Linked DNA regions of Lonchura striata. The protein of the gene in region 1 purifies or fractionates together with the protein of each later gene. This does not show direct contact. Links are inferred from orthologs where the notes say so. Each region holds a gene or a part of one and is shown on either strand. Other genes may lie near its edges.

Region 1 (11,507 bases):
GGCACCAGCCCTCTCAGGAATGAATCTCTGCCAGGTCCCATTTACTGGGTGACAACTCCAATAGTAGTAACTCCACGTGCATAATATTTATTTCTCTTAGCGCTGCAAGGGTCCAAGCATGTTTCTGCACAGCCATACATCAAAACCTGCTCTAATCTCAGTGATTAGACCTTGAAACAAATCCTCACAGTTCAAGGGAGTGATACAATCAGATTGAAATCTGTCAGATTAAAAATACATTTTTAAAAATTACCTGCTTTCAAGGTCCACTCCTAACTCAGTTTTTTTGTTTTTTGAACAATCCTTGACTCTATGGCAATTATCACACACTGAACTGACAATATATTATATTTAATAATAAAAAAAAATTACAGCTGCCACAGATAATTTTTATAAAAATAACACATGCCTTAATGTTCACTGATGGAAATATTTTACAATACACTATTAATTTAGACAGAAATGTAAGTTTCATAGCAAGATTTTTAGTAAGCCCAGATTATGAACTGAGCATTTCCAGACTCATGCGGGGCTCCAGCATATATTCATGAGCCTCACTTATGAACACAGAAGAAAAGTAAAGAATCAAGAGAGTTCAGGTGATGTCTAGTCACATCCAGTTTAATAAAACTTAAGATGCTGCATTTACACAGCTTAAAGAACCTTATTTGATGCAGGAATTTTCATTCTTCTTGACTGAAAATACAGTATCTACCACCAAACTCAGTGTAAGGGACATGCCACATCCTCATACACATCAGAACTTTAATGTCCTCCTCTCACAGCAAATTAAAAAAAAAACAAAAAAATTCAGGTGTGATTAATACAACACAGCAACACTGGGTGCAGGAGCTGGATTCAGCACATCAAACCAGTTTCTGGTACATCACAGCTCTGGGTAGTAAATGTTTTGTTCCTCGGTTTACACACACAACCAACTGTGGAGGGTTTTCAGCTCATTTGGTTTTTCAGCCTAATCATAACTGTGACATTCCCAAGGAGCTGGGAGAGCCCTAAGCTCTCTCTACTCAGATAATCTTCTTTAGAGAGATTGTAAATATCTCATCCAGGCAGTGAAACCACAAAACAACCTCTCCTCCAGGAGCAGGAGCAGCAGTGGGTGCAGAAAAAGTTGTTTTACAGTATCTGTTACAGCCTGAAATAACTTAGAAATCAGCTTTTTTTTCAGAATACAGTGATACAAATGCAGGCATTTTTTGTAACCTCTTCAACCTGAAAGAACAAGTCCAGCTGGACTGCTGAAACACCATACAAAATCATCTATCCACCAAATAAAATGCACATTCCCCTAACCAATTAAGAAATTAAACTGAATATGAGATACCACTTTTCATGTTAAACAAATGCATATGCTTTAAATATATGAAACAAGACTCTTCTCTTTTTCCCCTACATAAATGTAGTCAACAGCAAAATAAACCTTCTTCACCAGCAAAATAGGTATGTCCCACCAAGAACTTGTTTTTAATACAGCAAACCACAACTTCAGATAATTGTTTTAAGCTTTAGTCAGGGGTTCTTTAACTTTTAGGAACTGAGATGATTCTTCTGCCTTCTTGAGCAGTGGCTCTGAAGGGAGCAGAGATGCTGACCCAGGCCCAGCATCACTCTCTCCAGGAGGGCAGAGGGAGCTGCACCAGGGGAGGTGCTGCCACTCAGAGAACTGCCCTGTGGGCACCAACCTCCCATTCCATTTCCACAGCTTTTACCCAATAAATACACATATTCTACTGTTTTAAGTCCTGACAGCTCTCACTGAGCAAACTCCCAAACTAATTAAGAAAGCAACCAGGAAAAATATCATTTGTACTTTTCTGGTTTATGTGAAGAGATGCAGAAAGATGGCAGGGACACGATGCAGCAGTGAGAGCCTGCAGCAACGTGCAACCTGCCTCAGGTACAGCTACAGGCACCACTTCTCCTTCATTCTTCCTTCATGAAAGAGCACCTGCTCGTCATGAAGGAAACTTGAGAATCAGCAGAAGTGGAAGTACACTTTGTGACTGCCAGAACGGGGAAGGAACCTGCGTGACGAAGCACTGTGCTGCTTCTCAGGAGGCTCAGAATGTCCATTTTCTATCTGAGCTGCTGGTAACCATCTCCCATGCCACTCCACTGATTCCACTCTCAAGGTGCACAGAGCTGCCCACAAAAATGCCTCTGCTGGTCCATGGCCCATCCTCAGCTGAGGATGAGCCAGTCCTACTGTATTTCAGGGTGTACTTTTCATCCCAACTGGAAAGCACCAAATATAAAAGAAACAAATTTTTCTTTAAAAGTCCCCTGGGAGATTCCCTCTAGAAATTGGAAATATTTGACTCCAGCCAAATTCTTGCCCAAAAGCATTTGCTATTTCCCTAAGGAAACAAGGATTAAATACCATAAATACCCAGGGAACAAGAAGAGCCATGAGGATATAGCTGCCAGTTCCTGTGCTGGTGCAGGATGAGATGCCACCACAGCTGGATCCACAGCCCTACAGGACACTCCCACAACAGCACCTCTGTTGGAAGGCACCTCTGCAGATCAGATCCCAGTCCAGCCCTCTGCCGAGGCAGGGCCACCTGGAGCAGGTGACACACAGGAATGTGTCCAGGTGAGTTTGGAATGTGTCCAGAGAGGGAGACTCCACCCATTCCCTGGGCAGCTGCTCCAGGGCTCTGCCACCCTCCATGAAAGAACTTCTTTCTCATTCAGGTGGAACTCCTTGTGTTAGAATTTATGGCCATTGCTCCTTGTTCTGCCCTGGGCACCACTGGAAAGAGCCTGACACCTTCTTCTGCCCCAGCCTGGAAATATTCCTATGGATTGATGGGATCCCCTCTCAGTCTTCCCTTCTCCAGCCTAAACAGCCTCAGCCCCACAGTCTTTCCTGACATCAAAGATGCTCCAGACCCCTGCACCTTGCTCACATCACCCAAAACATTTTATTCCAACAGTCCATACATGATCTATTTCTACACCAAAGCACACCAACAAACATTCTTAACATGTGTACAACAAGAAGTGATATTCCAGTTTGTACACAGTGGTTCCCGCACCTGTGGGGAGGACACCTCCCACAGACACAGCAGGACTCAAGATAATCCTGCTAATTAAAAGAAACACTGCTTCCCAAGTTCTGTGTGTTTCACTGGCATATCACTGCCCTGTGAGGGTGGACAGGCCCTGGCACAGGTGCCCAGAGCAGCTGTGGCTGCCCCTGGATCCCTGAAAGTGTCCAAGGCCAGGCTGGATGGGGCTTGGAACAACCTGGGACAATGGAAGTTGTCTCTTCCCAGGGCAGGGTGGGACTGGATGAGCTTTAAAGCCCCCTCCAAACCAAATCACTCTGTCACTCTATGATTTAACACAAAATGTAGAATCTGGAATTTAAAAACACAGATCGCAAGACCATCTGAGTGCTTTACTGAGTGCATTGGCAAACCATATTTAAATACATCATTTTTTTAAGACCAGTGAACTTACTAAGATCACATCCTATATGGAATTCTGAACAGTCTGGATGAAAAATATCTCTACCGTGCCAGGTTAATTTCTTCACTGGGGAACACAGGAAGGGCTTGAGTGCAAAGATGTCACCAAACAAGGTCTCCCTGACCATAGAGCCCATTTAGGACCTGCAAAACCACTTACCAGGGCCCTGCTTTGCTCTGTACACCACAGCCCATGAGTCACCCCATCTAAAGCTCCCGAAGCTTTTCAATTCCATCCCTGAACACATATTAGAAAAGAAAACTCAAACCCAAGCTGTGGTTCTGCTAAGAACAGGTAGAAGGAGCAGCGTACTCCTGTTCCCTGGTACAAGTTCCGTAGAGGCAGAGCTGACAAACAGCACGGCAAGGTTTTATCTCAGTGCACAGCAAAGCAGGTGCAGTGCACACAGCGTTCCCACCTGGGCAGGTAATCCTGCCACAGTGAATCTCAATTTAACCAGACACGTTTCACCCCAGCAGCTGCCTACCCCCTTCCCGACTCGCCTCCGCTGTGTCACCTGAGAGCCAAAACAAAACACACAGAAGGAGAGAATGACAGAATATTTGCTTGTTGGAAAGGGCCTTTAAAGGTCATTAGTGCAACCCCCCCGTCACAAGCAGGGACATCTTAGATTCGAGCAGGTTGCTCAGAGCCTGGTCCAGCCTGACACTGAACGTTTCCACCGCCTCTCTGAGCAATTTGTTCCGATGTTTTAACACCCTCACGGTAAACATTTCTTTCTTGCACTTAATCTAAACCGATCCTGCTCCAGTTTAAAACCATTATCCCCAGCCCTATCGCAACAGGTGCTGCCAAAAACACTGCCCCCATTTTTATTACAGACTCCCTTTAGGCAGCGAAAAGGGCTTTAGGGTCTCCCTGGAGAGAGGGAGAAGGGTCTCTTTTCTCCGGGCTGAACGATCCCGATCCCCCCAGCCTTCCCCGAGAGCGGAGCTGCTCCACCCTCCGAGCAACTCTGCCCGCTCCAACAGGTCCGCGTCCCTCCCTCCCTCCCGCCCGCGACGGAAACCCCCGGCCGCGATCGGCGCTACCGATCCCGACCGTCCCGAGCCCCGCCGCCGCTGCGTTCCCGATCCCGACCCTCCCGATCCCGACCGTCCCGAGCCCGACCGTCCCGAGCCCCGCCGCCGCTGCCTCCCGCAGCACGCCGCGCTCCCGACGGGCCGGGCCAGCCCCGCGCTGCGGCGGGCGGGCGGCGGGCGGCCCCGGCGGAGCCCGCTCGCCGCGCTCACCTTGCTGCACGTCGCCGTTGGCGCCGCCGGGCACGGGCACGGTGAGCTGGCGCTCGGGCTCGGGCAGGCAGCGGCGGCAGAAGGAGTGCAGGCAGGGCAGCAGCTTGGGCTCGGCCTCCCGCCGGCTCTGCAGGCTCTGCGCGCACACCGCGCACGTGTCCAGCAGCGAGAACGGCCCCGGCGCCGCGGGCGTCAGCGGCGGCACCGGGCTGGGGCCGGGCCCCGCCGCCGCACCGGGCCCCGCCGCCGCCTCGGCCTCGGCCTCGCCGCCGCCGCGCTCCGCCGCCGCCGCCCCGGGGCTCTCGCGCTCCTCGGGCGGCGCGGCGGCGGACGGCGAGCCGGCGGGAGGCTCCAGGCCGCCGCCGCCGCCCGGCGCGGCCTCGGCGGCCGCGTCCCCGCCGCCGCCGCCTCCTTTGTTTTCCGCCATGTTTCCTCCTTTGAACCCGACCCCGCTCCGCGCACGCTCCGCGTCACCGCGTCACCGGGCGGGACCGGGCGGGAACGGCGCCGCGCACGCGCGCGCGCTCCCGCGGCAACGGCGCGGCCGGGAGGGCGGGTCGTGACGTCACGGAGAGGCGGGGCTATGAGCCCTGGGGTGCGATCCTATTGGGCGGTGGTGGAGGCAGGGGCGTGGCCACGCCCACGCGGGAACGCCCCCGGGTACGGGGATGGCGAACGGAGCACCGGGAATAGGGAACCGGGCACCGGGAATAGGGAACCGGGCACCAGGCTGGGGAATAACGCACCGGGAATAGGGAACAGGGAACCGGGAATAGGGACCGGGCATCGGGAATAGGGAACCGGGCACCAGGCTGGGGAATAACGCACCGGGAATAGGGAACCGGGCACCAGGCTGGGGAATAACGCACCGGGAATAGGGAACAGGGAACCGGGAATAGGGAACCGGGCGCCGGGAATAGGAAACAGGGCACCGGGAATAGGGAGCAGGGCACCGGGAATAGGGAGCAGGGCACCGGGAATAGGGAACCGGGCACCAGGCTGGGGAATAACGCACCGGGAATAGGGAACAGGGAACCGGGAATAGGGAACCGGGCGCCGGGAATAGGGAGCAGGGCACGGGGCTGGAGTATAACGCACCAAGAATAGAGAACCGGGCACCGGAAATAGGGAACAGGGAACCGGGAATAGGGAACAGGGAACCGGGAATAGGGAACCGGGCATTGGGCTGGAGAATTACGCACCGGGAATAGGGAACAGGGAACCAGGAATAGGGAACAGAGCATGGGGCTGGAGAATAACGCACCGGGAATAGGAAACAGGGCACCGGGAATAGGGAACAGAACACCGGACTGGGGAATAACGCAGCGGGAATAGGGAACAGGGCACCGGGCTGGGGAATAACGCGCTGGGCTGGGGAATACCCATCGGGACGGGGAATACCGCAGCGCGGTGGGGAATAACCCTTCCGGACGGGAAATGACACACACAGGCTGGGAAATAACCGCTGCGGGAGGGGAATAACCCACCGGGACGGGGAATAACGCGTGAAGCGGGGAATACCCAGTGAGGAATACCCGGGAAGGGGAATCACCCATCGGCATAGGGAATAACGCACCGGGGTGGGGGAATGGGACACCGGGATAGGGAATAACCCATTGGGATAGGGAATAATGCACCGGGATAGGGAATAACCCATTGGAATAGGGAATAATGCACCGGGATAGTGAATAACCCTTTGGGATAGGGAATAAGGCACTGGGGTGGAGGAATGGGGCACTGGGATAGGGAATAACCCATTGGGATAGGGAATAATGCACCAGGATAGTGAATAACCCATTGGGATATAGAATAATGCACTGGGGTGGAGGAATGGGGCACTGGGATAGGGAATAACCCATTGGGATAGGGAATAATGCACCGGGATAGGGAATAACCCTTTGGGATAGGGAATAATGCACCGGGATAGGGAATAACCCTTTGGGATAGGGAATAACCCTTTGGGATAGGGAATAATGCACCAGGATAGTGAATAACCCATTGGGATATAGAATAATGCACTGGGGTGGAGGAATGACCCATTGGGATAGGGAATACTGCACTGGGGATGAGGGAATAACCCATTAGGAAAGGGAATACTGCAGCGGGGTGGGGGAATGGGGCACTGGCATAGGGAATAACCCATTGGGAAAGGGAATAATGCAGTGGGGATGGGGGAATAACCCATTGGGATAGGGAGCAAAGCATGGGGATGTGGGAAATGGGTATAGGGCACCAGGATGGGGGATAATGGACCAGGATGGGGAACAGGGCACCAGGACAGGAAACAGCAGACCTGGATTGGGAATATCACACTGGGATAGATGAGTCAAGCAGTGGGATGGGGAATGGCACACCAGCATAGGGAAAAGGAAACTGAGGCATGGAGCAGTGCATCAGGATGGGAGTCAGAGCATGGGGACAGGGAACAGCCAGTGGGAGCAGGATGATCAGGAATTATGCCCTGGGATGAGGAACAGTGCAGGTGGTGGCATGTGGCAGCAGCTCTCTGGCTACAGAGAGAAACACAACTTGCCCAGGCATCGTCCTGGGGAAAGTCTGTGAGATCAGAGAATAAGAAACAATTCTTATCTTACTGGTATTGTGAACATGTGGAATGTGTTGTGGAGATTTGTTTAACAAAGGGTGGTTTCTTAATTAGCCAATGCTGACGGTGTTTGGACTGGAGGACCAATTAGGTCAATCTGTATCATAACTGTCTATAAAAGCAATGGCTTTCTTAATAATCATATAATATAATAAAGAGATTGATCAGCCTTCTGGGAATCATGCAGCCAGTGCTAATTATTACCCAGCTGGGGCCCACTGCAGTGACAGTGGCACCAGAGTGGGCACTGCACGGCCCAGTGCTGCAGAGACTTCCCCAGCCCAAATTCCAGTTTCCCACCACTTCCCCTGCAGGAGATTCTCAGGGTTCACCTGGCCCAGCCACCTCCTCCACAGCTCCCAGGCTTTAGACATGAAGCAGAAACCAGAGAAATAGCAAAACAGGATTTATTAAAGGCATAGGGGAAAACATGACAACACCAGCTCCTGCTTTAAGTATATAAAAAGTTAAACAATTCACAGTACATTGAGTGGTGCCTGTGACACACTTAAATATGATGTTTTGAGTCCACCCTGCTTCTTTCTAGAATTTAAAACAAGGAAAAGAAATGATGGAAATACTTTTACCACCTCACACATCTGCAACTAGAGGTGTCTACAGACACAGCATCTCCAAAGTGTCAGGTTTGCAGTTTTTGACACATGCAGCACTAAGATAAGTCAGGATAAAGTCACTGAAAGTCTTGCTGGATATTCTCCTTGTTTGCTTCCCCATGCTGCTGCTTGATTTGTGAAATTTCATTTTCCAGCTGCACAATAGTTCGTTCAATCTCATAATTTTTACTGACAAGAGAGACCCACCTGGAAGGGAAAAGAAATAAAAAGAGCCTTTAGGTGTTATGTAAACGTCCTCTGGTTAAAAATCAAAGACAACCATTCCTTCAAATCTAGCAGAAACACCAAATAATGCTATAGTTGACATCAATGGTCATTGGAACAACCGAAGTGACAATGAATAATTTTTAACCCTGTTAAACCTGAAAACACAAAAAATGTAATGACTAGACTCATCCACCAACTGCCAATATTGAGATAAAGAACAGTTTAAGACAATTTAGGAAATTTGAAGCAGCTAATAAATACACTCTTTTCCTACCTGTTGATTCACTCAATTTCAGTAAATATAATATGGAACCAAACTACAAATACCTTAAAACACTTCCTGCAAAGCAACAGTATCCTACAGCAGCACCAAAGGATCACTGAATTTCAAGTGGAAGAAGAATTTCAAGTAAATTTCAAGCAATGGAGAAAGCTGTGGAAGGGTTAACCGAGAAATATCAACACTCACGTGGATTCCATCTCTCTCAGCTTAGCCCCAGCTGTGAGCTGCATGTTCTTCCTCTGCCAGTTCAGGTCTTGAATGTTTTTCCTGGGGAGAAAAGGATGCATTTTTATTTCCTCATTTCTTTGGCATCTGCAGTACCTGTTGCTAATTTCCAAGTACACTCAATCCCTAGAAGTACTGCCAGAAAATATTTGTGTAGCCAGGACTGTAATGACAACATCCAGATGGACAAATCTCAGTACAGGGCTCACAAAGAGCCCTGAGATAAATAAAAGTAAAAGGCCAAACCCAACATCAGGGAAGATGTCCTTACAGAGACAATTGCACACTAAATTATCAGTAGTGAAATTAAAGCATTGCTACATTTCAGGGAGGGTTCCACAAATCCAGAGCAGAGATTTAAACAAATCAAACACAGAATTTTGAGTAGAACAGACATGATGAATGGGACTGGGGAGGGAAGGGTCACATTTCTTCATCATTGTTTTTACTGGGTCTTTTTCCCTGTGACCATGGCAGCAGCCAGCATACACATCTTCCTTTGTACAGCTTGGGGGGAGAGAAAGGTTCACTTCCAATTTCAGTACAAAAATATAAATAAGAATGACCCACCTCAATTTCTGAAGCTCTTTCTGGGCTTGTTCTATCATATGAACCAGGTGCCTGATGACAGAATGCAAGCAAAGCATTAAAAACACACAACTGCTAAAATTTCAGCCCCATTTCATCTGACATTTAACTTCTCAGAGTTCAGGATTCAACAAGCCCCTGCAGCACCTTGTTCCAGCCAGCAGATCCTTTACCTGCTTCCCTTCTCCTGAGCTCAGGAACCCTCTGCCTTCTCCCTGAGCTACGTTTGGCATTCCTTTGACCTACTCTTCTATCTAAGGCTCAGCCAACCCTTCTCAAAAGTGGACATTAACATTCTCTCTCTGAATTAACCCCAGTACTTCCTGCAGCCATACTCTACAACCTCTTCTTAGCTTTTGCAGCAGCTTTATTATGGCTCCAGGCTAAGCCCAGGATCTGTAGTAACTCATCTCCATTTCCACTAGTGAGTTATTTCTTCACAGGCTATCACTAGCCTTAATTAACACCCACCAGCATCAACAATAACCCACAACATTCAAGAGTGGGATGTATTAAACACATTCTGTTTCTTGGCCACAGAGACAGCTTTGAGATCAGCCTCCTCTTTCACTCACAGCTCTCTCACAGGATTTCATCTATTCCAGGCTACATTTTAGAGATCCCCACCGGATTTACACCCAATAAACAAACAGAAATCAACACAGAACTTGGTGCTCAGCAGAGCAGCTGAGGCCTTACTCGTTGTACACCTTCCAGGCATTGCAGCCGTGCTGGGACATGAGCTCCAGGTTCTCGATGCGCACGGCCTGGTGCTCCAGCTGTGCCATGGAGTTGTTCACACACTCCTGCCACGCCGTGATGTCGTTCTTCTGCCCAGAGGAGGGGGCGGGCAGCTCGTACCTGCAAAGGGAACGGGGCACCGGGCACGGCTCACCTGGGACACCGGGCATGGATTACCTGGGCCATGGCTCACCTGGGGCACCGGGCATGGCTCACCTGGGACACGGCTCACCTGGGACACGGCTCACCTGGGGCACCGGGCACAGCTCACCTGGGACACGGCTCACCTGGGGCACCGGGCACGGATTATCCAGGACACGGCTCACATGGAGCACAGTTCACCTGGGACACCAGGCATGGCTCACCCGGGGCACTGGGCACGGCTCACCTGGGACACGGCTCGCCTGGGGCACCAGGCATGGATTACCCAGGGCACAGCTCACATGGGGCATGGCTCACATGGAGCACAGCTCACCTGGGGCACCGGGCATGGATCAAATGGGACACGGCTCAACTGGGGCACAGCTCAACTGGGGCACGGCTCACTCAGGGCACTGAGCACGGTTCACCCGAGACACCGGGCACAGCTCAAATGAAGCACAGCTCATCCAGAACATCGGGCATGGCTCACTTGGGACACTAGACTCAGCTCATCCGAAGTATTGAACACGGCTCACCCGGGACACCGGGCACGGCTCACCCGGGACAGGCACTGCCCTGCCGGCCCCACTCACCTCTTCATACTGAGCAGCTCCAGGGGCTGCCGGGCCGCCAGGCGCTCGAACTCGTTCCGCATGATCTCGGTCTGCGGGGAAGGCAGCAGTGAGGGACAGGGGCGGAACAGTGCATGAGACAAGCGGGCACGATGGAGACAGGACACAAACGGATAACGGCGGAGGGACAGCCGGGGCAGGGGCGGAGAGACACAGGAGGGGTACGGGCACACGAGAGGGGTACGGGGCAAGGACGGGGACAGGCAGGGTCTGTCCCAGCCAGGTCACGGAGTGGGGCCAGGCGGGGTATGGGGGCACCGGGCCGGGCTCTGGGAGCTGCCAGGCCGCCTCAGCTCACCTCGAAGGCGCTGTAGTCGTGCGCGGGCAGGTAGCTCAGGTAGTTCTTGGTCGGGCGGTACCGCCGCGTCTCCTCCTCCACCAGCGCCGCGGCCTATCGCACACGGGGCGTCAGGCAGGCGGACAGCCCGCCCGCCGCCCCGGCCCCTCCCCGCCGCCGCCGCGGCCCCGCACGCACCGCCTCCCGCACGCCCGGCGCCTCATAGCCCTGATCGAAGTAGGGCAGCGCATCCACCACGACATCCCCGGCCACCAGCCCCGGGCCCGACATCTTGGCCGCGGCCGCGCGCACTGCGCGTGCGCAAACACGTCACGCCCGGCGGGGCGGTGCGCTGCTCGGGCACAAGCCCCGCCCCCCGAGAACAAACCCCGCCCCCCGAGGCCAAGCCCCGCCCCCCGAGA
Region 2 (11,633 bases), on another chromosome or scaffold:
GCCACCACCTAGTGTGTGAATTTTCTTTTTGTATTGATTGTTGTCCAGGATAGTTGTTATGCTGAACCTTCAGCTGCCAGATTGAAAATGTTAGAACTTTCTAACAATTTTGCCAAATTTGAATTTTAATACAGGAGCTGGTTTCTGGGGCTCCTGACTGAACAAAGTTTCTGACTGTATAGTTTGCCAGTATAGTGTTCTGAGCAAGGAAAGGTTTTCAGTGCTTAATGAAAACAAATTGCATCAGGTAACATAGTAAATTAAGGTAACATAGTAAATTATCCTTCAAGGATTTCAGATTTTTCAGCAAGATGAGCAAGAACTTACCACTTCTGTAGTTCCAAATCTCTTCTCTCTGAACATCTGATTTCCCTGTTCTACATATAGAAATTAGAGCTTTGTTCATGCCCTTCAGACTGAGAAGACAGCAAGGAGAGCAGATATTTACACTGAATAGGTCAAGACTGGCTGCTTTCATGGAGAATATTGATCCTACCATGAAGGAGACTATTAACTCCATATCAGAATTGGTAGACTTTGCTCCAGCACTCACACTAGGAATTGTACACTGATACAAAGAGTGCCTTCCTAGGCTGGACCTTTCAGCAAGGGTTGGACATGGCATCAAGTGTCAGTTTAATTAAAAATTCAGTTAACTCTTGGAGAAGTTAAAATCTGTACAGAGTAATTCAGCAGTAATGGGCAGCTAATACTGAACCTCATGCTATTTATTGCTTTTATACTTGCTGTCTTAACTGCATCAGAAGTGCACACGGTACAGCCCAGCCTGGAAAAGGGCATCAGTTCCTTTTTTATCTTACTGCCACACTGCTGAGAATGAGTTCCACTTTGCCAGTGGAAAAAGCATATCTAGAATAAAATAGGTGCTGTCCACAATGACTCCCTTAACTTCTGCCCTTAGGGATGGTGATCTGTACTTACAATCAAACCTGAAATGTTGGTAGCAGGCTCAAGGAAAGCAATTGAAAGAATGGGTCTAAGGATTAGGACTAAGAGATGTGTTTCTTACATTTCATGTTAGTAAGCAGTGTAATATACAGCACAGATAATTCTTATTTTTAATGCTAAAGCTATAGTTATGAATGTGTTGGGCTGAAGGAATGCCAAACGTACCACTTTTTTATTATTGTTTTGGGGAAAAGGGATTAAGAGACATTGAGGAAAGGAATCTGTATTATGTAAGAGCTGTAAGAGAAGATAAGTGTCACTGGAAGCAGATCTGAGAATCTGTAAGCACAAGTTGGCAAGCATTATCTGAGGCTTTTAGTAGACTTGCTTGGCCAGTGTCTTTCTGTGAAAATCCTCATATGGCAACACTAATTTCATAGCACAAGTTTTCTGGTGTATGTCTGTTCACTTCCATGTCAGCTGCAAGCAGAGAGATTGCACAAATCCACGCTGGTGTCATGGTATGAGATTTAGTTATTGTTTTTCTTTGCAATGTGAATAAGAAACTCCTTGTTATTGGGCTGAGTTTCCAAAACTGATAAGTGATTTGATGGGCTTCAGTTTCAGGGAAGTGTGGAACCTCCTCACTGTTAAAAATCAGGTTTCCTAAAGTTAAAGTTGTATCTTTTCAAATGTAAAATATGAGCGTGAACCTTCCTTTACAAAGCAGCTAATAGGGTCAAGTGAACTGCACTATGTGCAGTTTGAAAATGGTGATTTTTTAGCCTCTGACTCCTGTACCCACATGATCAGTTTAGACATCAGGGCATAACTGATATTAAACCTGGGAATCATTTAAAACAAACAAGAAAAGCCTTGCCTCTACAGTGGCATAATTTCCTACAGGGTATTAAAGGAAATGGCTTTATGTAAGAAATGACATTTCTGCCATTCATCACAGAAGAGTAAAGCAAAAATTAATTTTTTGTGTAATGTCACAGAAAAATTATTTTTTCTATTTACATATCTAACCATTAAGAATCTTGCAGTGACAAATACCTTAAATTACAGTAAATCTATTTTTAAACTTTAATTTTCTCCAAAGTGCCATGATATTTACTATTATTTTTCATTGTTAAGCATACAGAAACTGTCATAAATATTCAGAAGGGACATTAGGTGTAAACAGTCCAGTGCAGTAGCTTTTGTTTTTTGGAGAACGTGTCTGCATCAGAAGCATGATGTATTTATGTGGAGTAACCTCTTTTTTGTACACGAGTTGGATTCCTATGGGTGCTCTGCTAGTTAATATTGTCACTACTATTTTCCTGTTTCATGTGGAATATCGTCTTGAACGTTGTTGTGTAATCATTTCCTTTATTTGTGCACACTTTTTACGTTAAATAAAACATTTATATTCAACCTCAGAGAAATCTCAGAGAAATACTGTGAAATGCTGGTCTTGGGATCATCGTCTAACCCTTTTAAACTGTCCATATCCCATGGGAATCTTGTTCTGATCTTTTCATTTCTTGTAGAAAATTGCACTGGGATGGGCCACAGCAACCCAAGAAATGCCTTTCTTACCCTGCATTTACCAAACATGTCTGAGAATGCAGGTTCTGCTCCAGCATCATTCCCTAGCCTCATGCTCATCTAGTCCTTTGGAAAAACACCATCCTTGTAGGTTCTTTCCTTCCAACACCAGTGATGAGACAAAGCAGTGAGGCATCCATCCTCTGCACAGAGATAGAAATCTTAAAGGAAAATACAAAATGTTACTTTAGCCTGCTCATCCAAGGACTCTTTCAGCGCTGGAGTTCGTACATCATCTCAGCTGCCAGAGCTGGGATTTGGAGTTCAGAGCAACGCTCTTGTCTGCTGCACTTACTTCTGCATGATTTATTTCTTTGTTTCTTCAACTCCTCCCCTGCATTCTGGGATTTCTGACACAGAGGGTGATGGCACAGATGCAGTGGTTTAATTTCTGTATTTCAGTATCTTTTAAAAGAGATTTTGTCTTGCCTCAGCACGGGTGTGCTTCGGCAATCCTGGCGAGTGCTGCAGATGGCTGCATATCTTCCATGCTTAACCTCCCCCCACGCACGCTCCCTGTTTCTGTTCTGTTGGGTGCCCAGCTGCTCTCGCCTCAGTCTGAGCAATTGTTTATGCTGAGGCACTCTATGGAGGAAGCTGATAGCTTGGATAATCTATACATACACTTGGTAAGTGCTAAGCAAGCGTCCTCACTTCAGCATGGATGGTGTAAGGCATTGAAGCAGCAGAGGTATCTGCAACTGACCACAGAATTATGTTTTCCTGGGAAGAGAGAAGGTAGGGGTTGGAGCCCCTTTGAGAAAAAACAGATTTTACCATATCTTGCATTTTTTCGCAGAGAGATCCCCCATGTGTTTATTTTAATTTTTTTTTTCTGCTTATAATAAAGGGATCTGGACTGAATACTTGAAAGGTGGATTCTTACCATTTAATCACCAATAACTGAAAGCAGAGCAGTGTCTACATCCCAGGTCTGTGCAGCTTTTGTGGGAGGTGGCTTTTCCAGGCATAAATAGCAGGAATCTCTTGTGTCCATGTTTCATTTCTAAGGATGAGTAAAGTGTCTGGGCTTATACTCTTAGATCAGAGGAATAGTTCAAGTCCTTCATGAGCTGAAGTGTTTTGTGCACTGTCCCCACTGTGACTTGTCCAGCAGGATGTGGTGTCTGCCAAAATCTATCAACTTTTTCTGCTTAAAACACAACCTGTAATACAATATCTGTTTTGCAAGAATGAAACCTCCTATGACAGATTAGCTAAGTGTGAACTGTTACAACTTACTATTAAACATGACTACTAATTTTTTTTCTTTAAAAAGTACGATATCATCTCATCAGAGACGAAAATGCATGGTCTTTGTTCACAGTTAAATTGTGCTCTCCAGGGCATAGTTCATAGTTAAATTGTGTATCTTCAGGGACTGTGCATCAGGGAAGTTTGTGAGCTTCCCCAGAGCCTCAGCATTTCTTTAAAATTCAGACACTTTATTAATCAAATCAAGATTCCTCCTGTGCTATTAGTGCACTTTATTACCACTTGCAAAAGTCTGTAACTCAGGTTTTAGTTATGCAGTGTCTTCAGAACTGCTTTTCACAGTCCACAGTAGAAATAGGCAGAGCTAACACCTTTTTTTAGACAATCCTCTACCTACAAACTTTGTCTTCCATCGCCTGATTATTGTAGCTCTATAGCAACACTATCATTACAGCACAATAGTTACCAGGCTTTGTAACCTGAAATGGAACATTTCTGCGGCAGAACTTGAAAAAAATCAACAAATTACACAATGCCACTGGATCCTAAGCTTCCATGACATCAGCACGTCTAATAAAAGATGAAATATCTGCCTACATATGCTGCCTTCCTCACAGACATTGATCAATCCAGCTGCAATGTTAGACATTACATTTTCTTCAGTAAATTTGAAAGGGATTGTGACATAGTGCATTTCACTGATTGGTATTCAAAGAGGCTTTTTTTAAAACAATCAGGTCATAAAGTCCAAGAGGGTGAAGCAGACAGGAATGTCTAGAATGTCTATACAATTCCCTCATAGGTTCATACCTTTTCAGAATCAGCTCCAAAAGCTGGTGCATTCAGAAATCTTGTTTATTTCTGCCACATTGTTGTGGCTTTTAAACAGACCTTATATCTGCTTAATAAATAAGTAGTGGGTGTTAGTATTCTTTGCAAAAACGTTTACTTTTCTATAAAACCCTGATGGTTTGGCTTGGAAAAGGCCTTAAAGATCACTCAGATCCAACGAAATTGTAGATATTGTTGCAGACACCGCAACCGATGCGGTGGTTTGAGAAAGAGGTGACTGCTGAAGCAGCTTTGAAGTGATGCTCAAGGGCCTCTCCATCAGCGACCCCGCCCAGCCCAGAGGAAACCTGAGCATATCAAAGGTGCGAAATCAAGGATTAAAGAGCACCAAACGCCTCTGTCAGCAGATCAGCGGGGCAGGTTCTGTGCCATAATCCTCCTGGGACGGCATTAGGGAACGGCGCGGAAGGGATCAGGGATCCCGCCGGCCGGTGCGAAGCGGTGCCTGGTGCTTGTACAGCTGCCCCATTTTCATGTGCCGTGCTTTTGTACTCGCATCAAAATATGTAACTGTGTGGGATGAAAGGAAACGGCAAATTGGATCGCGCCGTAATCCCAGCTGAAGCGCTGTCTTCACAAAGATGTAAACTGAAAAGCTTTGGGCCTCTTGCAGGCGGAAGAAACTTGTAATACATGAACGAGCTGTACAGCGACTAAGCTGTCCCTGAAGAGCATCTTCCCCGCCTCTCCGCGGTTCGATCGCTTCGTTTCCCAAAATATCTCCCGCGAGCCTGTGGCTGGAGGGAGCGGTCCGTGCCACGGCTTCGGGGCCCCTCACACGGGCCCGCCTTCCCCGCGCCTGCCCGCCCGAGCACAGCCCGCCCTCCTGGGGACCCTCGCTGGGGACAGCACTGTGAGACCCCTGCCAGGGACGCTCCGTGGGGGACAGTCACTCGAGGGCTTTCACTGAGGGACCATCTTTTTGAGGGGCAGTCAGTGAGGGATCCTCTGCGGGCGCCTCGCTGCGGGGCAGTCACTAAGGGGCGGTCACGGAGATCCCCCCGCTGGCGGCCTCTGCCCGGGGCCGCCGCCGCGCCTCAGGCGGGCGACACGCCCGACGGGTCCCCGACAGCGCCCGGCTTTTCCCCTGCTGCCATGGCCGCTTCCCTTCCCCGCCCCAGCTGCAGCTGCCGCTCCGTCCCGTCCCTCAGCCGGCCCCTCTCGGCCGCCGACGGCGGAACGGCGGCAGGGCGGCGCGGGGCAGGCTCTGACCGGGCGGGCTGCGGGGAAGCCGGGCAGAAACAACACTTTTCCATGCGTATTCACTTTTTAGTGTCTATTACACAAAGATCTGTTTTATTTTTATTTCTCCTCCTGCGCCTTCCCCGCGGGCGGCAGCGGGGGGAAGGCCCGGCCGGGTTTCCCGGCGCTGAGGCGGCGGCGGGCGGGGGAGGGGCGGGCGGGCGCTCCCGCCGCTGCCCCAGACAGTGGGCGGGGCCGGCGCGCGCCGCCGGCGGGTTCGTGCCCGCGCGCCGCCGCCGCCGCCGCCGTCTCGGTCTCCGCAGTGAGGTCACGGGTGGGCGGCGCGAGCGCGGCGCCTGTTCCGCTCCCCGCGGCCGCCGGAGCCCCCGCGGCGCCGGGTGAGCAGCCGGGGAGCTCGCTGGGAACGGCGGGGAGCGCGGCGGCGGAGCCCTGGGGGGAAGGGCGGGAGCGTCCGCCGGGGGATGGGAGGGAGCGGCGGCGCGGGGGCGGCGGGGAGAAGGGGAGCGGGGTACCGGCGTTGGGAGGAGGGGAGGGACACGGGGGCGGCGGAGCGGCGCGGTACGGCCGGGGACGGCGGGGAGCCGGGCAGGGCGGAGGGGCGAGCCCGGCGGCGGGAGGGGGAAGGGCTGAGCCCGGAGCGGTGCCGGCGGGGCCGGGGTGAGTCACGGCGCGGGAGGGAGCGGCGGCGTGCGGCGTCCCGGGAGGGGCCGCGGGGCGAGGGGTCGGTGCCCGGGATGTGGGGGCCGGTGCCCGGCTCGCCGGAGCGCCCGTTCCTTTCGGGCGTGCACGCCGGCAGAGCCGCTCCGGACCGCCCCCTCCCCCGCCGGTATCGCTCATCGGTCGGGGGCTTGTCCCGGTGTTCCGCAAGTTACTGGGAAATGCACCCTGCCTCTGGCAGGCAATCCCGGTGGTTTGGGCTGCAGGGGGCCTTAAAGCTCATCTCCTTCCAGCCCCCCCACCCCGCCATGGGCAGGGACACTTCCACTATCCCAGGCTGCTCCAAGCCCTGTCCAACCTGGCCTTGGACACTTCCAGGGATGGGGCAGCTGCAGCTTCTCTGTGCAGCCTGTGCCACTACCTCACTGCTATCACCGAGAACAATTTCTTCCTTGTATCAAATCAAAACCTTCCCTCTCTCAGTATAAAGCCATTCCCTCTCGTCCGCTGACTCCTGTCACACTTTCACCTGTGTCAAAAGTCCCTCTCCAGTCCTTTTTACCCCTTTAGGTACAGAGCAAACTCTGGGATTGCTTGTGATCAGCCATCTCTCTTTCACAGGTTATCAGGAAGGACGAGCAGAACTCTGTGCTAGCACACGACATGCATCCAGCCCATGGCCTGGATCTCACCTCTATTACTAATAACTTGGGCTGGGAAAATTCTGACACACGCCAGTGACATCTGGGCGAAAGGTGACTCTCTAGGGACGTTTAGTTTTTGCCGTCGGTCTGGATCAGCCTTTAATTTTAGGATTTATTTGTGAACTGCCATAATAGCTGTCACGGTGGTGGTGGTGAAATCATAAAGCTGGCAGCACAATAAAGCAAGCCCTTAAGATTGTGTTTGATCTCTGGGAGCTAAAAGTGCTGAATAAAATTTTCATACAACGTAAACTACGTTTTGGATCAGTTTCGTTGAGATTGACATTCTTCTAACTGAGCCCATTTTTCTATTTTATTATTTAAATAGAGACTTATTTGAAAAGACAGTATATTTTTTAAAGGAAAAAAAAACGATTGAGGATGAACACCCATCAACGCATCGTTTTTTACTAAATTGCTGAACAAGACTACTGTGTAAAGTAGTGGCTAGGGTATGAAGAAAACCTTTTGTATACATATTGCATTGGGGTTTTTATATTATGAAATTTAACAAATAGCTAAGAAAATAGTGTAACCCCCTTCGTTAGTAGTTTTACAGAATTACATACAAAATGGGTTACAATTTTTACTGTTGAATGCTGAAGAAGATGTTTTAGGGAAAGGAGCGTGCAGCTCCAAGATCACATGAAACTATTTTTTATATAAAAAGTAAGAAAATGCACATTCAAGACTGGCTTAATTAAAGCTCAGTGTTCAGCAATGGAAAGCCCACAGATAAACTTCCCTCTAGGTCTGGTTTCAGACCAAAAAAGAAGCAGGATCCAAGAGGATGGGAGTCCTCCACTGAAAAAAGCAATGACTGAAATGCATGTAAATAACAAAGTACAGGTAGTAATAAATAAATTGCCAACAATAAAGAAGGAAAACCTGGATGACTATGATGAAGCTCCGGTGGAGGCTGATGCGGAAACCGCCAAGCCAAACAGTGCTTCACTATCTGAGCCTTTGAGTTTAAATCCAGGTTTGAAACACACGTTGGCACAGTTCCACCTAAGCAGCCAGAGTTCACTGGGTGGACCTGCGGCTTTCTCAGCTCGGTATTCCCAGGAAAGTATGTCACCCACTGTCTTCCTGCCTCTCCCATCACCACAAGTCCTCTCTGGTCCGCTGCTCATCCCTCCAGACAGCTCCACGGAGCTCACGCAGACCCTGCTGGAGGGGGAATCCATCTCTTGTTTTAAAGTCGGAGGAGAAAAAAGACTTTGCCTGCCTCAAGTATTGAATTCGGTTCTCCGAGACTTTTCCTTGCAGCAGATCAACACGGTGTGTGATGAGCTCTATATCTACTGCTCAAGGTGCACTTCAGACCAGCTGCACATTCTGAAGGTTTTGGGAATTCTTCCGTTCAATGCTCCGTCCTGTGGGCTCATTACGCTGACGGACGCTCAGAGACTATGCAATGCTTTACTGCGCCCTCGCACTTTCCCCCAAAGTGGCGGTTTCCTCCCTGGTAAGAACACCTTGGCCCAGCTGAAAGAGACTGGCAGTGCCTTCGAAGTAGAGCATGAATGCCTGGGCAAGTGCCAGGGGTTGTTTGCACCTCAGTTCTACCTTGCCCCGGATGACCCGTGTATCCAGTGCTTGGAATGCTACGGGATGTTCTCACCCCAGACCTTCGTGATGCATTCACACAGATCCCCAGACAAGAGGACCTGCCACTGGGGGTTTGAGTCGGCCAAGTGGCACTGCTACCTGCACATTAACCAAAAATACCTGGGCACATCAGAAGAGAGAGAGCTGAAGCATCTCTTGGAGGAAATGAAGGAGAAATTCAGCGAGAAAAATCAGAAAAGAACTCGGTCCAAAGTAAGTTCACCTGGTGTAAAATTCCCAGATCTCTTTCTGCTCGCACATAAATACTTGTTTTAGAAGCGCATTACTTGGCTTTTCTAAGTGGGAATACTTGTCACATCAAGCCTAAGTTAAATCTGTGTGAGCTTCACCATGGAAATAACATTTCTCATTAAGAGAGGTGGTAATTTCTTTCCTCTTTGGGCTGCAAGTAACCATTTGAGGTGGCTTGGCTTTGTTGGTTCTTGTTCTGTCCTAAAGTATACAGACTCTGGAAAATTCAGGCTATTGTGAAAATTTTCATTCTCCCGTTTGACCTTTGAGTAGGTTTTAATGCAGCGTGTGCTGCAGCAGCTGAGCAAAGCAGAAAGGAGCTTGAAAATCAAGCATTACAAATGAATTCTTCATTTGTTGTTTGTACTCCAGCATGCACACGTGGGCTGGATGGCAACCTGGCTTGCTGGCCACCCATCTCATGACTTGTGTGCAGGGTAATGGTGCTTAGCTAAATGGCTATTTAGAAGCCCAAAGTCTGCTTGTTCAGCAAGAGCTTTCTGTTTAAACCACTTGTGCAGTGAAATATGCCAAAAAGAGGGGGTTTTAAGCAGCCCAAGTAATGAGCTGTGGGCCGGTATCTTGACAATAGTTAATAATAGACATCTTATTTTTTCCTAAAATACTGCTGCAAGTCTGTGCTGTGGTTCCAAAATACAGAGCTTATTTGTCCCTTGGAGAGCTTCTACTTTAAATAATAGGACAAGTAGCAGAGAAACATTAATATTGTAGATGTTCCCATTCATAGAAAGCACAATTTTGGGGTATAATTTAAACTTTTAATGGTTTCTGCCCCATGACAGTTTCTTTTCAGTGTATTCAGTGTTTCTGTGTCTGTTTGATGGCTGCTGGTTTGATGATAAATCCATGTTGCCTGTTGGATGTTTTGTGGTGGATTTCAAAATAGCAGCAAGAGCAGCGCAGATGGTTGAGCCCAAAAAGGGGTGCTATGAGCTGACACCTTTCAGCACAAATTTCTGAAAAGTTGGTTTTGCAGGAAGGCTGACGGTAGTAACAGGTATTGTTACAGTGGTGCCAGTCTGCAGGAAGAGATTTTACCAGCAGATTCCCATGGAAGTCTGCAGTATGGCATGCTTCCACATGCTGAATTATTTGAAGATGCAGTCTCCTAGCAAAGAGATTTTGCTTTTCAACTGATAAAGACATGTCAGTCTTTATTCTTGCAATGCCAGTGTAGGAAGTGGACTACAGCATGGTGGATACATCAGTGGAAATAGTTTTCCATGTTCACACCTATAAGTGCTGCTTCTCTTCCCACAGCAGCACATTTCAGACAATGAGATCTTTCAGTTTCATGTGCAAAGATGAAAAAACCCAGCTGGAAAGAGCAGTGGCAGTAATTTGGACTGGACTGGTGCAAATGAAATTGTAAAACTTTCTGTGGTCTTGTGTTGCAGACCCGTGTAATTCTTTCTTACAAAGCAACATGTGAAACCAGAGTCAGAAGCTATGAAAACCTGAGCTAAATACAGCGGTGGGGGAGGTTTTGGGTTTTTTTTCATCCTGTGTATATTCATCTGGGAAGTATGAAAGAGTAAAAGAGTTTAAGAGGGCAGTACTGGGGTAGAGTTTCCCTTTTCTTTTCCTGAGGGAGCTTAGGCTGCTTCAGAGAATCACAGAATAGTTTAGGTTAGAAGGGACCTTAAAGATAATTTCATTCCACCCCCCTGGCCTGGATGGGGACACCTTCCACTAGCCCAGATTGCTCACAGCTCCATCCAGCCTGACCTTGAACATCTCCAGGGATGGAGCAGCCACAACTTCCTTTCCTCATTTCTGTGTTGTGGGAGAAGTATCAGGTACAGCACATAGACATTCCCTTTCCTTACACTCCTAGGGGAATTTATTTGCAGGATGTTCTGTTTGCTGTTCTGTCACCTCCTCACCACCTTTGCTGAGTCAGTTCACAGCAGTGCTGACACATCCTTTGTGGTTGTCTTGGACCCAGGAGGAACAGTTGCCCTTGGCTAGGTCTTTCCCCATGTAGTAATAATGAATTAATTAAATCCCATAGTCTTCGGAGCATCCTAGATGCCATGCTTTGCCTTTCTCCTTAACATTTCACTCTGAGTTTATTCACCTCACAGTGCAAATACACTTTTGTTTCAATATTTTAAGAGCAAAGTACTCTTGAGATAAATTCCTTTCTGTTCTTTGTGCTAACAAGAAAGCTGTGTGCTTGACTGTCATAATTTTCTGTGGAGTTGTAGACTGCAGTGCAACATCCACCTGCTCTTCATGGAACAGCTGTCACTGAGTCTCTGCTGATTCCTGGCTGAGAGATCCTTGTTCCCTTTGACTTTGCGACAGTTTCTCATCATCTCTGCACTAAAACTTTGCCTTGCTGATTCCTTGAGCTGATCCTGGTCACAGTATGGGAGTTTTATAAATCCAGTCTGTGCTAAAACAACTGGCTTAATGATTGCACTGAAACCATTACTTACCTATATATTTTTTTTTCCTTAACAGCTTTGTCCAGCTAGCCTTAAAGAAAAATAAATATTATTTCATGTAACCCTTTTAAACAGTTTGAATAGAAGTAATTCAATTCAACTTGTTGTGTTTAAAGAATTATTTAAGAGCATCTAAAATAAATGAAATGGGTAATGA

What was found.
Region 2: the proteins of TRIM33 (region 1) and SKIL purify together in Homo sapiens (affinity purification with western blotting; 4 studies listed by BioGRID and IntAct, with this or other methods). This does not show direct contact. The link is inferred for Lonchura striata from reciprocal best matches to the Homo sapiens genes TRIM33 and SKIL.

Annotation. Positions count from the first base shown.
Region 1 is NC_134632.1:1,999,236-2,010,742, reverse strand, and holds the start of TRIM33 (E3 ubiquitin-protein ligase TRIM33), read right to left. Parts: upstream 5,179-11,507; coding exon 4,752-5,178; intron 1-4,751. Other genes in the region: BCAS2 (pre-mRNA-splicing factor SPF27), read right to left, coding at 8,048-8,177, 8,668-8,748, 9,277-9,327, 9,994-10,155, 10,770-10,840, 11,107-11,199, 11,284-11,376. UniProt on the Homo sapiens protein: Acts as an E3 ubiquitin-protein ligase. Promotes SMAD4 ubiquitination, nuclear exclusion and degradation via the ubiquitin proteasome pathway. According to PubMed:16751102, does not promote a decrease in the level of endogenous SMAD4.
Region 2 is NC_134612.1:23,033,195-23,044,827, reverse strand, and holds the start of SKIL (ski-like protein), read left to right. Parts: upstream 1-6,042; 5' UTR 6,043-6,152; intron 6,153-7,053; 5' UTR 7,054-7,856; coding exon 7,857-8,963; intron 8,964-11,633. UniProt on the Homo sapiens protein: May have regulatory role in cell division or differentiation in response to extracellular signals.